3 linked regions of the Arabidopsis thaliana genome follow. The protein of the gene in region 2 interacts with the protein of the main gene of each other region in a pairwise test. Each region holds a gene or a part of one and is shown on either strand. Other genes may lie near its edges. The genes, in order: SEP4, WLIM2a and MBD3.

Region 1 (4,875 bases), about 16 Mb from region 2:
GGCCAACTTTCATATATATAATTTTATCAGAGATCATTTCTAAACTAGACATTTTAAAGTTGTGTATTATCTACCTAAATTATCCATATAAAAGATGGAATAGCACATTGCAAGTATTATATCGTATTTATTCTTTTTAGATGTTTCCTAAAGCATCAATCTATATGTTGCATGTTGTAAGGTCACAACTTGGAACCATAAAAGAATGGTGGAGGATAGCAAGTGCGTAGAAGATAAGGATCATTTTACATGATAATCTGGATAAGACATGCGCATATACATCAAGTTTCCATCAACAAGATTTATAGTACCCAAAAGAAAGAAAGAAAAAAACTAATATTCCATCGATCTATAGAAGTTGAACAAAATAACTAAGGTACCAAGTGAAATATGAGTCAGCAAGCAAAGTTAAAAAAAAAGTTGTGTGAGACATATCACATGAGTAAATTAACAACAACCATCATCATCATGATGTAGATAGTATAAGATGCCATGAGAAGAAGTGAGGAAAAACAAATTAACCTGACAAGAAGCATCCTAAAAAATTAACCTGTCAAACAATTACCAACCTTTAAAGTGAAAAAAAAAGTTGAAAACACTAAGGCTTTGAGAGCTTAAATGTTCATAAACAATTTTCCTTTTTCTTGCCAAGATCAATCTGCAATTTTTGTGTCAAGCATGTACGAGTTATTGTTATAAATAAATCTAGAGTCGTTATGTGAGTTCTACTGTATTTTATGAAAATCGATTAACTAGTAAAATACATCAGTCTTCTTAAGAAGAGAACCTAAACACGAAACCCTCTAATAAATGCTAGATTGCATATTCTTACACATCTATATTAGTGTCAAAAACATGATTGGACTGATTTTATAGTATTGAACAAGAACGTGACTAAATTTTCAGAAATTGGAAAGAAAACAAAAACATGATATATTTCAATATCTAAATTTCACCATATATATATAAAAAGACATAGTGCATGTGAGACGTAAAAACCTTTGTAAATAAATTTTCTCTTTAAATAGTAAATAGTACCATATCAGATTAACCATTTCAGAGTGACATAATTTGTTTGTAACCGTATAGATCCGTTTTATGCATTAAAACGATCGTGAAGTAGCTGTCATACGAAAGAACTTGTCGGCAAGAGAAGCAAAGCATAAGCAGAAAAAAACATATCTTTTAGAAGCCTATCATTTTCTTACTTTTATTCACAAACACACACAATATACATTATAAGTGTTATCTACATAATCTAAACGTGTCAATACCTGAAAAAACAACAAAACTTTATTTGCACTTCTTTCATTTCATGAACAATACATAACCAGATATTAGATAGGACTTGGACTTGTGAATATGCTCTATTTAAGGCATCTTTATAGGTTATATTTAGAATCTTTTTCTTATTTCTTTTTTGAGCATATTATTAAACTATGGACTAGATCTGATGAAAGAAAGCAATCTATTTATATATTATGGTGTAAATATTATCTTTAAAAAATCCAATGGAGGAGAGTGAAAGAGAAAAGTTGAAGCATTTTGTTTGGACTATAGAGAGAGAGAAAAAAAGATCTTAACTCTCCTTAGAAAAGTACTAGGAATCAATTTTTATTTTCTGCAAAAACAAAAGTGTAAAAGAAAATTAATAATAATATATATTCCCTGATGAAGTAAGACTAAAATAATGTAACTACACAAAAATACTTTTTAGAATTTATAATATTTTATATTAATTTTTAAAAAAGGAAAGTTGATAAGATTGGATATAAGTTTGGAAGCATTTATTTGGCCAAGAATGGCTTAGCATCTCTGCAAAACCAACACAAAGCTATATTCTCTTAAAAATCAGTTCAACAAAAGAAGAACCTGAACACAGTTGGCCCACCACCACCACTACCACAATCTCCTCCTCCACCACCACCACCTAGTCACCGGAAACCAATTCATGCCCTAGATTAAGAACCAGAATCCTTTTGAGACAAGATCTATATATACACTCTACACATTTACTTATACACTTTATCTAGATATAGATGTGTGTGTGTATAAAGGTTCTTTTTCATTACTTGTTGGTTTAGTGATAAAAAGGAGGAGAGTTTTCAGTTGGGTTTTGGTTTCTTGGTGAGAGAAGAGAGAAAAAGAGAGGATGGGAAGAGGGAAAGTTGAGCTGAAGAGGATAGAGAACAAGATCAATAGACAAGTTACTTTTGCAAAGAGAAGAAATGGTTTGCTCAAGAAGGCTTATGAGCTTTCTGTCCTTTGTGATGCTGAGATTGCTCTTCTCATTTTCTCTAACCGTGGCAAGCTCTACGAATTCTGCAGCAGCCCTAGGTGAAAACTCTTTAATCTTTGATATATCTACTTTTTCCCTCAAAGTTTCTATATTTTGATCCATGTTAGGGTTTTGATTCTTAAGGATTATAAAGGATATGAAAACTTTGTTGTCTTTCTTGATTTAGTTACAATTAATTAGTTGATTAACTACGGTTTATTTATTTTGTGAGTTCATACGCATAAATCTGGCTCGTAAAGAGTGAGATTAAGTGAACGATGATCAAAGTACGTACAAAGCGTCTAAGTTGCTCTAGATGATGATTAAAGCTAGAGAGTAGAGACTATGGCTGAAAAAAGTACAGTAGATATGTGTAGAAGCTATAGAGCATATATAAATATAGTTAAAGCTTTTACACATGAGATTGAGTGTTGTTGATATTGTTTCCAAAGGATTGATCAGAGTTTCCAAAGAGACTAAGAATTGACCTCTGGATATATACACAAAGCTGTAAAAGATATAAAAAATACTTTGACTACTTCTTTAAGTTAGTATCTCTCTCAAGTACTACTTATGATCTTATTAAAGTTATAAAGAGACAACTGTGATGATACTCAATTTCACTAGCTACTTATCATTTCCACATAAATTTATTTTATTTTTCTTGCACAAACATCATGAGATTGATACCCATTTTGATGTTCTTGATGTTTTTACATGGAGATGCTTTTAAGGTTTTTTTTCTATATTATTCTCATAATGAAATTTAAAGTTTGGTTTATCAATATATGTTAAAAGTTAAAATGATCATTTGTTTTTATGAAAAGTGGTATGGCGAGGACGGTTGATAAGTATAGAAAACATAGTTATGCAACAATGGATCCAAATCAATCAGCTAAAGACTTGCAGGTACATATCTTCTCTTTCAATCAAAGACTGACCTCAAAGTTGTCCTTAATTTTATTTTAAATTGGCAGGATAAGTATCAAGACTACTTGAAGCTTAAATCAAGAGTTGAGATCCTTCAACATTCACAAAGGTACTTATATATCCTAGTCCATCTAAATGTAACTATATATGCTCTTGTTACTAAATGTTTCTTCTTTTTAGGCATTTGCTAGGTGAAGAGCTATCCGAGATGGATGTGAATGAGCTTGAGCATCTCGAACGCCAAGTAGATGCATCACTAAGACAAATAAGATCTACCAAGGTATATTTCTAAGCTTACAAAATCGACAAATTTTGTTTCGAATCTTTCATCCTAAATCGTTGTTTCGTTTTCATTGCCAGGCTCGGTCTATGCTTGATCAACTATCTGACCTCAAAACTAAGGTACATACTTTATATAATAAAAGTTGCACAATATCCAAATACAACAAGCTCTCATTTTCTCAATTTACAGGAGGAAATGTTATTGGAAACCAATAGAGATCTTAGGAGAAAGGTAGCTATCGGAATCTTTTACCGCAAGAAACTGAAACCATTTGTCATTTGAAATCTTCCTATTCTTTCTTTCTCAGTTGGAGGACAGTGATGCAGCACTTACTCAATCGTTTTGGGGAAGTTCTGCTGCAGAACAACAACAACAACATCAACAACAGCAACAAGGCATGAGCTCTTATCAATCAAACCCTCCAATTCAGGAAGCAGGTTTCTTCAAGCCTCTACAAGGCAATGTAGCATTGCAAATGAGGTATCTACAAACAAATAGTCAAGACCCTTGAATTATTTTACCTAATCAGAAATACTTAACATTTGTTTGTGCTTCTTTATTGTTTTGATATAATTAGCAGTCATTACAATCACAATCCTGCAAATGCAACCAACTCTGCAACAACATCACAGAATGTTAATGGATTCTTCCCTGGATGGATGGTCTGAAAACAATACATATCTATATATGTACACATATGTGTGTTTTATAGATCAAAGATCATTGCTTGTGTCATTTGATTTTTGCCAGAGAAACATAGTTCATTATTACAAAACTTTGTTATATAATCAAGGCTCTAATGTCAAACACCAGATTATTACTTTTTTGTTCTTTGTTTTTTGGCTCTCTTGAAATATAAAATATTGTTTTGGGAGCTTATTTTTGTTTTATTTTTGAACATCATATGAATTTGTTAGATTATGACAAAAGTTCTCCGGATTAGAACATGTCTCAAGAATTGGATTCTGAAACAAGTAGTGCTCTGCATTTGTATTAAGATTGTGATGTTGATAATTAAAACGACTAAATAATTTTTGCCAGGTTGGATTATAATGAACAAGTCCAAAATGTTATTTTAATTTTATTTTCATGGCAAGCACGTTCAAGAAATGGCTCCAACCAAAAACCAAACAAACATAACAGTATTTAAAACACAACTAAAACCTCAAAGAACAGAGAGAAGAAAAACAAGAATTAAGAAAATGGGGAAACCAGCAGGGTATTGGGTAAATAAGATTAGGACATCATTCAAAGGAGGATCATCGTCGAGCAAATCATTAGATGAAGGAAGTACTTCGGGTTCGAGAAAGAACGGTTCGAAGCATAGTAAGAATCTGAAAGCAGAGGATGCTAATAAGAATGGTGAAGGAGGAGGAGTTCAAGC
Region 2 (4,204 bases):
ATGATCTCTCTTTTTATCAGGTAGGAAGGCTTATCATCTTACATGGGGATTGCAATATGTTAATCTTTTCATGATTAATTGTGGATTCATTATCCTAGCTGGTTCCGCCTTAAAGGTAGTAAAACATTTTCTTCTCTTGATTCTTGATTTCGTTAGACGAGTTAGTTAATTTTGGTTGTGTGTTCTGTTTCTGCAGGCTGTTTATGTGCTTTTCAGGGATGATCATACCATGAAACTACCTCATTTTATAGCCATTGCTGGTTTGATTTGTGCGATTTTCGCTATTGGGATTCCTCATTTATCGGCTCTTGGGGTCTGGCTTGGAGTTTCGACCTTCCTCAGTCTCATCTATATTGTTGTGGCAATCGTGCTATCGGTTAGAGATGGTATAACTAATCAAATGATCATCAAGATTCAACATTACTAATGAGTTTAACTACTGCAAAAATCTAATTCTTGCTTTGTTTTGTTTGTTTCTAGGAGTAAAAACACCTTCAAGAGATTACGAGATACAAGGATCATCATTGAGCAAACTTTTTACCATCACAGGAGCAGCCGCAAATCTGGTTTTCGCATTCAACACCGGGATGCTTCCAGAAATTCAGGTGACTTTTCCCTAGACTTCAAAGTTCAATTGTTTGTTTGTGTTTGCTTTTATGTATTAGTGTACCTTTTGTTCAAGTAAAACCTGCATCTTAAACAAAGTTTGTTTGTTAATCATATTGACACTATAATTTCCACAATGTTAGGCAACAGTGAGGCAACCAGTTGTTAAAAACATGATGAAGGCTCTATACTTTCAATTCACAGCGGGTGTTTTACCGATGTACGCAGTTACATTCATCGGATATTGGGCTTATGGATCCTCAACCTCGACCTATCTACTAAACAGTGTTAATGGCCCACTCTGGGTCAAAGCCCTTGCTAACGTCTCTGCTATCCTTCAATCTGTTATCTCTTTGCACGTAAGTTTCTTAGCGCCAAGTCTACGCTTTTTTAACAAAGACTGTCGTCTCTAACTATATGTCTGACTCAATTCTTTGTTGTAGATATTTGCGAGTCCAACATATGAGTACATGGACACAAAGTATGGGATCAAAGGAAACCCATTTGCGATAAAGAACCTGCTGTTTAGGATCATGGCGAGAGGCGGGTACATAGCGGTAAGCACGCTTATCTCAGCGCTGTTGCCGTTCCTCGGTGACTTCATGAGCCTAACTGGTGCAGTGAGCACATTCCCTCTCACATTCATTCTAGCCAACCACATGTACTATAAGGCAAAGAACAATAAGCTGAATGCTATGCAAAAGCTATGGCATTGGCTTAACGTTGTCTTCTTTAGTTTGATGTCTGTTGCTGCAGCCATTGCAGCTGTCAGACTCATCGCCGTTGATTCCAAAAATTTCCATGTTTTTGCAGATTTGTAATTCATTATATTATATAGTCAATTGTGTATCCTTTATTCTTAGGCAGGTTTATTTCTCCTGTAAGCTTGTATTCTCTCTCTATTTGTCTTACCATTAGAGCCTAAATAAATAAATCAAGTTCTAAAATCTAAAAAGCATATAAAAGACCACTTTCATCATAATCATTCTGAAAATTTACCAACAAAGAATACTAAGTTGCATGATTAAAGTCTCTATTAGAAATGTAAATCATAGTATTAGAGAAGAACATAAAAACACCTAACTTAAAAAAACCTTAATTTAGTGAGATAGAGAAGAGAAGAAACAGAATTGTTGTTGGTTTAACAAAAACCTAATCTTTCAATGATTAGCTGTTTAATTTGAAATTATAACAATAATTTAGACAGGCCAAAGTGGAACCCCACTGTCTCCACCAAAGCTCTAGATAAAAAAAAAAAAACGAAAGCGTTAGATATTTTTTATCAATCGTGCTCCGTAATCATTACCTTTCTTCTTCATCTTCATCTTCACGCAGCGACTTCTTTGATTCTCTCTTTTTATTCTCAGCTCCAATTTCAACCTGCATTTCTCTCTTCTCAATTTTGGGTTTCTTTTTTTGATATCTCATTTGATCAGATCGACGAAGAGGTAACCATTTTGCCGTTTGTTAGTTCTTAACGATTTTATTCTGTTAAAAATCAGATTTTTTTTTGCAATGCTTGTAGAAAAAGATTCGATTTTTGTGTACTGATTGAATCAAAATATGTGGTTATGGATCCATGGATTGATTTGTTTGAACTGATGCAAATGGCTAATGTGAAAAGTCAAGAATGTGTTAATGTAGTTTTTTTTGTTAAACCTCTTTGTGTTGTTGGGTTTTGAAATGTTGTTGTTACAGAGGAAGAAGGTTTGAGCTGAGAGATCTTTGGAGGTAGAAAGAAGATCTCAAAAACGATGTCGTTTACAGGAACTCAGCAGAAATGCAGGGCGTGCGAGAAGACAGTGTACCCTGTGGAGCTTCTCTCAGCTGATGGAATCTCTTATCACAAGGCTTGCTTCAAATGCTCTCACTGCAAAAGCAGACTTCAAGTCAGTTTTCCTCTTTTGCCTTTCCTAAATGTAGTTATTAGTGTTTTGAGAGTTTCATTTAGATATTTAGCTAGAGAGATACTTGATCTGAATTGGTCTTCGTTAAAGTGATAAAGTTAAAACGTGTTGATGGTTTCTGAACAGCTGAGCAATTATTCATCAATGGAAGGAGTGGTGTATTGTAGGCCTCATTTTGAGCAGCTTTTCAAGGAGTCTGGTAGTTTCAGCAAGAACTTTCAGTCACGTATGTAAAACTCTTTTCTTCACCTTCTGGTCCAGCTTTTACATGTGGTCACTTTAATTTTAATCTTCAAACTTTTTTTTTCCTTTCACAGCTGCAAAGCCATTGACTGATAAGCCAACCCCGGAGCTGGTAAACGCTTCTTAACAACGATGTTTTTATTTAGTTACACGACTTGAGATACATGACTCTATTTCTCTTCTTGGTTGTTCTCAGAATAGGACACCTAGTCGACTTGCTGGTATGTTCTCTGGAACGCAAGACAAATGCGCTACTTGCACTAAAACCGTGTATCCTATCGAAAAGGTTAGTATACATTTAAGCTTGTATATGTCATTACCATTGCTTTCCAATACACTTTTGTGTTCTCTCTGTGATTGTTGTCAAGAAAATCACAGTTAAACTTATTTGGATCATTTGCAATATGAGTTACATGGATCCGAATCACATAAAGTTGAGATCTCTTTAATACAGTCAATTCTTATATCTCATTGTTCTGTTTTCTAAAAATTGTAGGTAACTGTGGAAAGCCAGTGTTACCATAAATCTTGCTTCAAGTGTTCTCATGGAGGCTGTCCGATATCTCCATCGAACTATGCAGCTCTAGAGGGAATATTGTACTGCAAGCACCATTTCGCTCAGCTTTTCAAGGAGAAAGGAAGTTACAATCATCTCATCAAATCTGCTTCCATCAAACGCGCTACTGCTGCTGCTACCGCAGCTGCTGCAGCTGTAGCAGCCGTTCCCGAATCTTGAATTCAAATTCTCTTTATTTTTGTGTATGTGCTGTGTTGTTTACATGTATTCGATATGATTCATGTTCTTTGTCTTCCATAATTGAACCAGGCATAAAATTCTCCCAGTTTTCTCTGAGTTTCTTGTTTGTGATACTACTACATCTATAATAACCGAGGACTTTTGGCTTTGATCTTGGTCTTTTGAGCTGGACCGAACCGGAATGTTAGACCGGACAAATCTCTATCGTTACTCGTCGTTAGTCATCTCCGGTCCGGTTCTTCACTAAAGTTAAAAATCCAGTTAAACAGAAATCAATTAAGAAAACACAAAACCCAAATTGAATTGTGTAAAGATATGAACTTTACAAAAGAAAATTGTCAATTTCGAAAAATGTTGAGCACAAGCTCTGATCTTCATGGCCGTCTTCTCCGGTGAGTGACATCTCTCTCTGGCCTCTGTTTTTTTGGCCTTTAAGTGCTTTTTTCTTGAAGAACCCTAATTTTGATTTGTTTTGAGGATTCAGATTATCAGAACCAATAGCAGAGATTCTTAGACGTACACAGTACACACCGCAAGAGAGCAGCAAAGTATCCACCAAAGATATACTCTTGTCCTTGTTACCAAACACTTCGTCTTCTCGTCTCGCCAATGAAGAATCGATCAAAAGTCTCGCGCTTGCTTGTGCCCTTCTCGCTTCTTCACGTTCATCCACTCACGAACTTCTCTCATG
Region 3 (2,923 bases), on a different chromosome or scaffold from region 2:
GTAAAACACAAGTTAGTGGTGAAGAATCAGTCTTCTCATAGCTCGTTCTTAAAGAGAAGGATTCGCATATTGAAGTATTTATGAATCTGTTGCTATCACAAGGAGAAAGAGACCTTCGATATTGTTGCTTCAAAGAGAAGGAATTTCAGAGAATGATCAAAAGCTATGATTTGCAAAGATCTCAAGGTTGATTAAATCATTGTGTTAAAAGGGCCTCAAGAACGTCACTGTATCAGTTAGTGTGAGATAGCTACAAGGAAAGCTACCAGAATGGTCTAAGACTGTCAAAATATCAGAAGTGCAAAGATAAATCAAAGGTTGAGTTGTTCAAAGATGGACTTTCAGAAGCTTTGAATTCTAAGAAGCGTGTATGATTCAAAGTTTGCTGCTAGTAATTTAGGTAGCAGTTTGTTCAGAGAGAAGGAGATTACTAGGCAGATTACTCAAGTACATGATAAAAGATATGATAAAAGAGGAAATAAATTGCTTAAACTGGGAAAACATAAAGCATCAAATGTTCAACGACAAAAACCAAAAGAAATCAAAGACAAAAACCAAAAGTTCAAAAGAGAAGAGATAAAGAGAAGCGATGAATGATCCTGATAAGTGATAGCAGACAAAACTAAGCATCTCTCGAGACACCATCTTCCTCAGTGTTCCTTGAGCTAGAATGACTATCGACAGGTTTCTTTTTTAGTTTCAGCCGTTTGGGTGCGGCAAAAGAAACCTCTTCAAGCGTCATGTCTTTAAATTCTTCCTTGTCTTCAATAAACGTTGCAACTTCCTTTATAGATTTAAACCTCTTTCGTCTAGGAGCCAATGATTCATAGTAAACATCGACTTTCACGCAGTTTGTTCTCACGACCAAAACTCTCTTCAAACCTTGAGGGGTTTTGGGTATACTATGTTCATCCTGAAACCAACGCATAGTAAGGGAATCAAAGTTCATTACCATATCTCCAGGTTCTTCACATCTCTTGCATTCAAAAAACTTTTCCAGTGTTTTACTACGAATCTCTTCATAATCTTCTTGTGACTCTATAGATCTCACTTTAAGACACTTCCAACATTGTGCAGCGTATGAGTCAATTAACGTGGTTTTCACTACACACATAAAACCAAACAAAGACTAAGATAAAAATAAAACATTGTCGATACCTTGTGAGATGCAATGATAAAAAACGAATCTTCATGTAATGATAAAAATAAAACACCATATTTCAAGTTTTGGGATCTTCATGCATTGACAAAACAAATCTTCATGCAATAATAAAAATAAAATATTGTCGATACCTTGTGAGATGTAGCTTGAGTAGTCTTCCTCACCATATTTCAAGTTTTGAGAGAGATAAAAATATTTTTTTGGGAGTTTAGCCTTTTAGTTGAAGTGAAGAAGAACTAAATATATCCTTTAGATTCGTAAAGTGAAGTGAAGAAGGAATGAAATCTTTACTGCAATAGCATTTAAGTTGGCTTTTAAGCCTTATAAGAAGTATCTAATCAAGTACTATTATAACCAGAACTCGAAGAGATAGTAGCTTGCGGTGATTCGAAAAGTCGGAGCCATTAATTTTGATTTTGCATGTACTTTCTCCAAGGAGAGGAAAAACAATGCTTTGAAAATTGTATTAACGTAAATTTGGACGCTTGAGATACATGTAGGTTAGGGCTAGCCTTACATCAGTAGGACAGGCGTTTTAGTTCCTTCAACCCTAGATAATATTAAAAGTTCCAATTCTTAAAAAAACTTTAATATGCAGCCCAATAGAATCCTATAGCGTCAGTGACCACTTCATTTGGTGTCAACCAATTAAAAACTGATCAGTTATAGAAATATTAAACTAGTGATAATGCGCATTTTGAATGTAAGACAAGCATACATATAAAAGTTTTATGAGTTATTTAAATTATTCAATTTTGGTTTAAGATTTTAAATGATGTGGACATATATAAGAAGGCAAAACCATATACTGTACTGTATTATATAATCCATTCTTCGTAACATTTGGTCTGTTCTTGGCTCGGAAATTGTCTCTGACCAGAGCAGTGTTCTACATGATTATGCAATGTCTCGGAGCCATCTGTGGTGCCATCTTTAAGACTAGTGAATATCGGCGCATCTTTAAGCCTAGTGAATTTCGGCCCATCTTCAAGACTAGTATGGAGGCCTGTTAAGGGTCTTCTAATACAGCTCAACATGCCTTTTTGTGTAAGCCTAGTGAATTTCTAATACACTTTGTCTCTGGTCAAACACTTTCATGCGTTTTTTTTATAAATATGTTTAATGAGCATAAATGTGCGGCTCAAAGCGGTGCAACTCCCAACGGTCAAATAAACAAATTAAGCTCAACTGCTCAAGTAGTGAGAACAAGATCAACCTAACTTGCACAACGAAGAATTTTTGTTGTTGTTGTGGTCATATATATTTTTACACTAACTAATTATTTTGACAAAAGTAATCAATTTGTGACATTCTACAAAAAAAAATATAAAAATAATCGAATATAATTTTTTTATTGGTCAAAATATCGATTGCAAAATACAAAAATCAAGGCATAACAAGTTAATCTATAAATTATAGTCGTGTTTTAAAATTAAGTCGTGTGTTTTGCGGTTTTGTCCTCGATTTTGTTCCTTCCTTTGTGTCGAATTAGTCCTACATTTTATAGAGAGGTCTTCTTGACCCTAATCCACGTGGGATTTTGACTCGAGCCACCGCCTCTATTGAAATGATAAGATCGTTTCTAGAATGAGGTTACGGCCCGTATTGGTCCGGTTCTTGTCGGTTTTGGCTAACACTGATCTTTCATAAAGCTTTCTAGAATATCCTTTATTATTTTCCCTATTTTGATGGGTTAAGAAATTTAACAGAGTTTATTCAATATCATCTCCAAGATTTAAATTATTCCCAACAGTAATGCAA

The links.
Region 1: the proteins of WLIM2a (region 2) and SEP4 interact in a two-hybrid assay, tested with the Arabidopsis thaliana proteins (one large-scale study listed by BioGRID).
Region 3: the proteins of WLIM2a (region 2) and MBD3 interact in a two-hybrid assay, tested with the Arabidopsis thaliana proteins (one large-scale study listed by BioGRID).

The regions. Positions count from the first base shown.
Region 1 is NC_003071.7:1,127,470-1,132,344, forward strand, and holds SEP4 (K-box region and MADS-box transcription factor family protein), read left to right. Parts: upstream 1-1,798; 5' UTR 1,799-2,152; coding exon 2,153-2,337; intron 2,338-3,105; coding exon 3,106-3,187; intron 3,188-3,255; coding exon 3,256-3,317; intron 3,318-3,388; coding exon 3,389-3,488; intron 3,489-3,568; coding exon 3,569-3,610; intron 3,611-3,680; coding exon 3,681-3,722; coding exon of another isoform or gene 3,723-3,773; exon of another isoform or gene 3,774-3,798; coding exon 3,799-3,971; intron 3,972-4,068; coding exon 4,069-4,159; 3' UTR 4,160-4,369; downstream 4,370-4,875. Other genes in the region: MRH6 (Adenine nucleotide alpha hydrolases-like superfamily protein), read left to right, coding at 4,694-4,875. UniProt on the Arabidopsis thaliana protein: Probable transcription factor that binds specifically to the CArG box DNA sequence 5'-CC (A/T)6 GG-3'. Plays an important role in the determination of flower meristem identity. Involved in the specification of sepal identity.
Region 2 is NC_003071.7:16,656,776-16,660,979, forward strand, and holds WLIM2a (GATA type zinc finger transcription factor family protein), read left to right. Parts: upstream 1-1,692; 5' UTR 1,693-2,054; intron 2,055-2,304; 5' UTR 2,305-2,360; coding exon 2,361-2,495; intron 2,496-2,639; coding exon 2,640-2,739; intron 2,740-2,830; coding exon 2,831-2,868; intron 2,869-2,952; coding exon 2,953-3,042; intron 3,043-3,252; coding exon 3,253-3,492; 3' UTR 3,493-3,668; downstream 3,669-4,204. Other genes in the region: PROT1 (proline transporter 1), read left to right, coding at 21-115, 197-386, 481-605, 750-965, 1,050-1,427; AT2G39910 (ARM repeat superfamily protein), read left to right, coding at 3,829-3,905, 3,998-4,204. UniProt on the Arabidopsis thaliana protein: Binds to actin filaments and promotes cross-linking into thick bundles. Has an actin-stabilizing activity. The actin regulatory activities are not regulated by pH and [Ca(2+)].
Region 3 is NC_003075.7:177,213-180,135, reverse strand, and holds MBD3 (methyl-CPG-binding domain 3), read right to left. Parts: upstream 1,115-2,923; coding exon 623-1,114; downstream 1-622. UniProt on the Arabidopsis thaliana protein: Probable transcriptional regulator.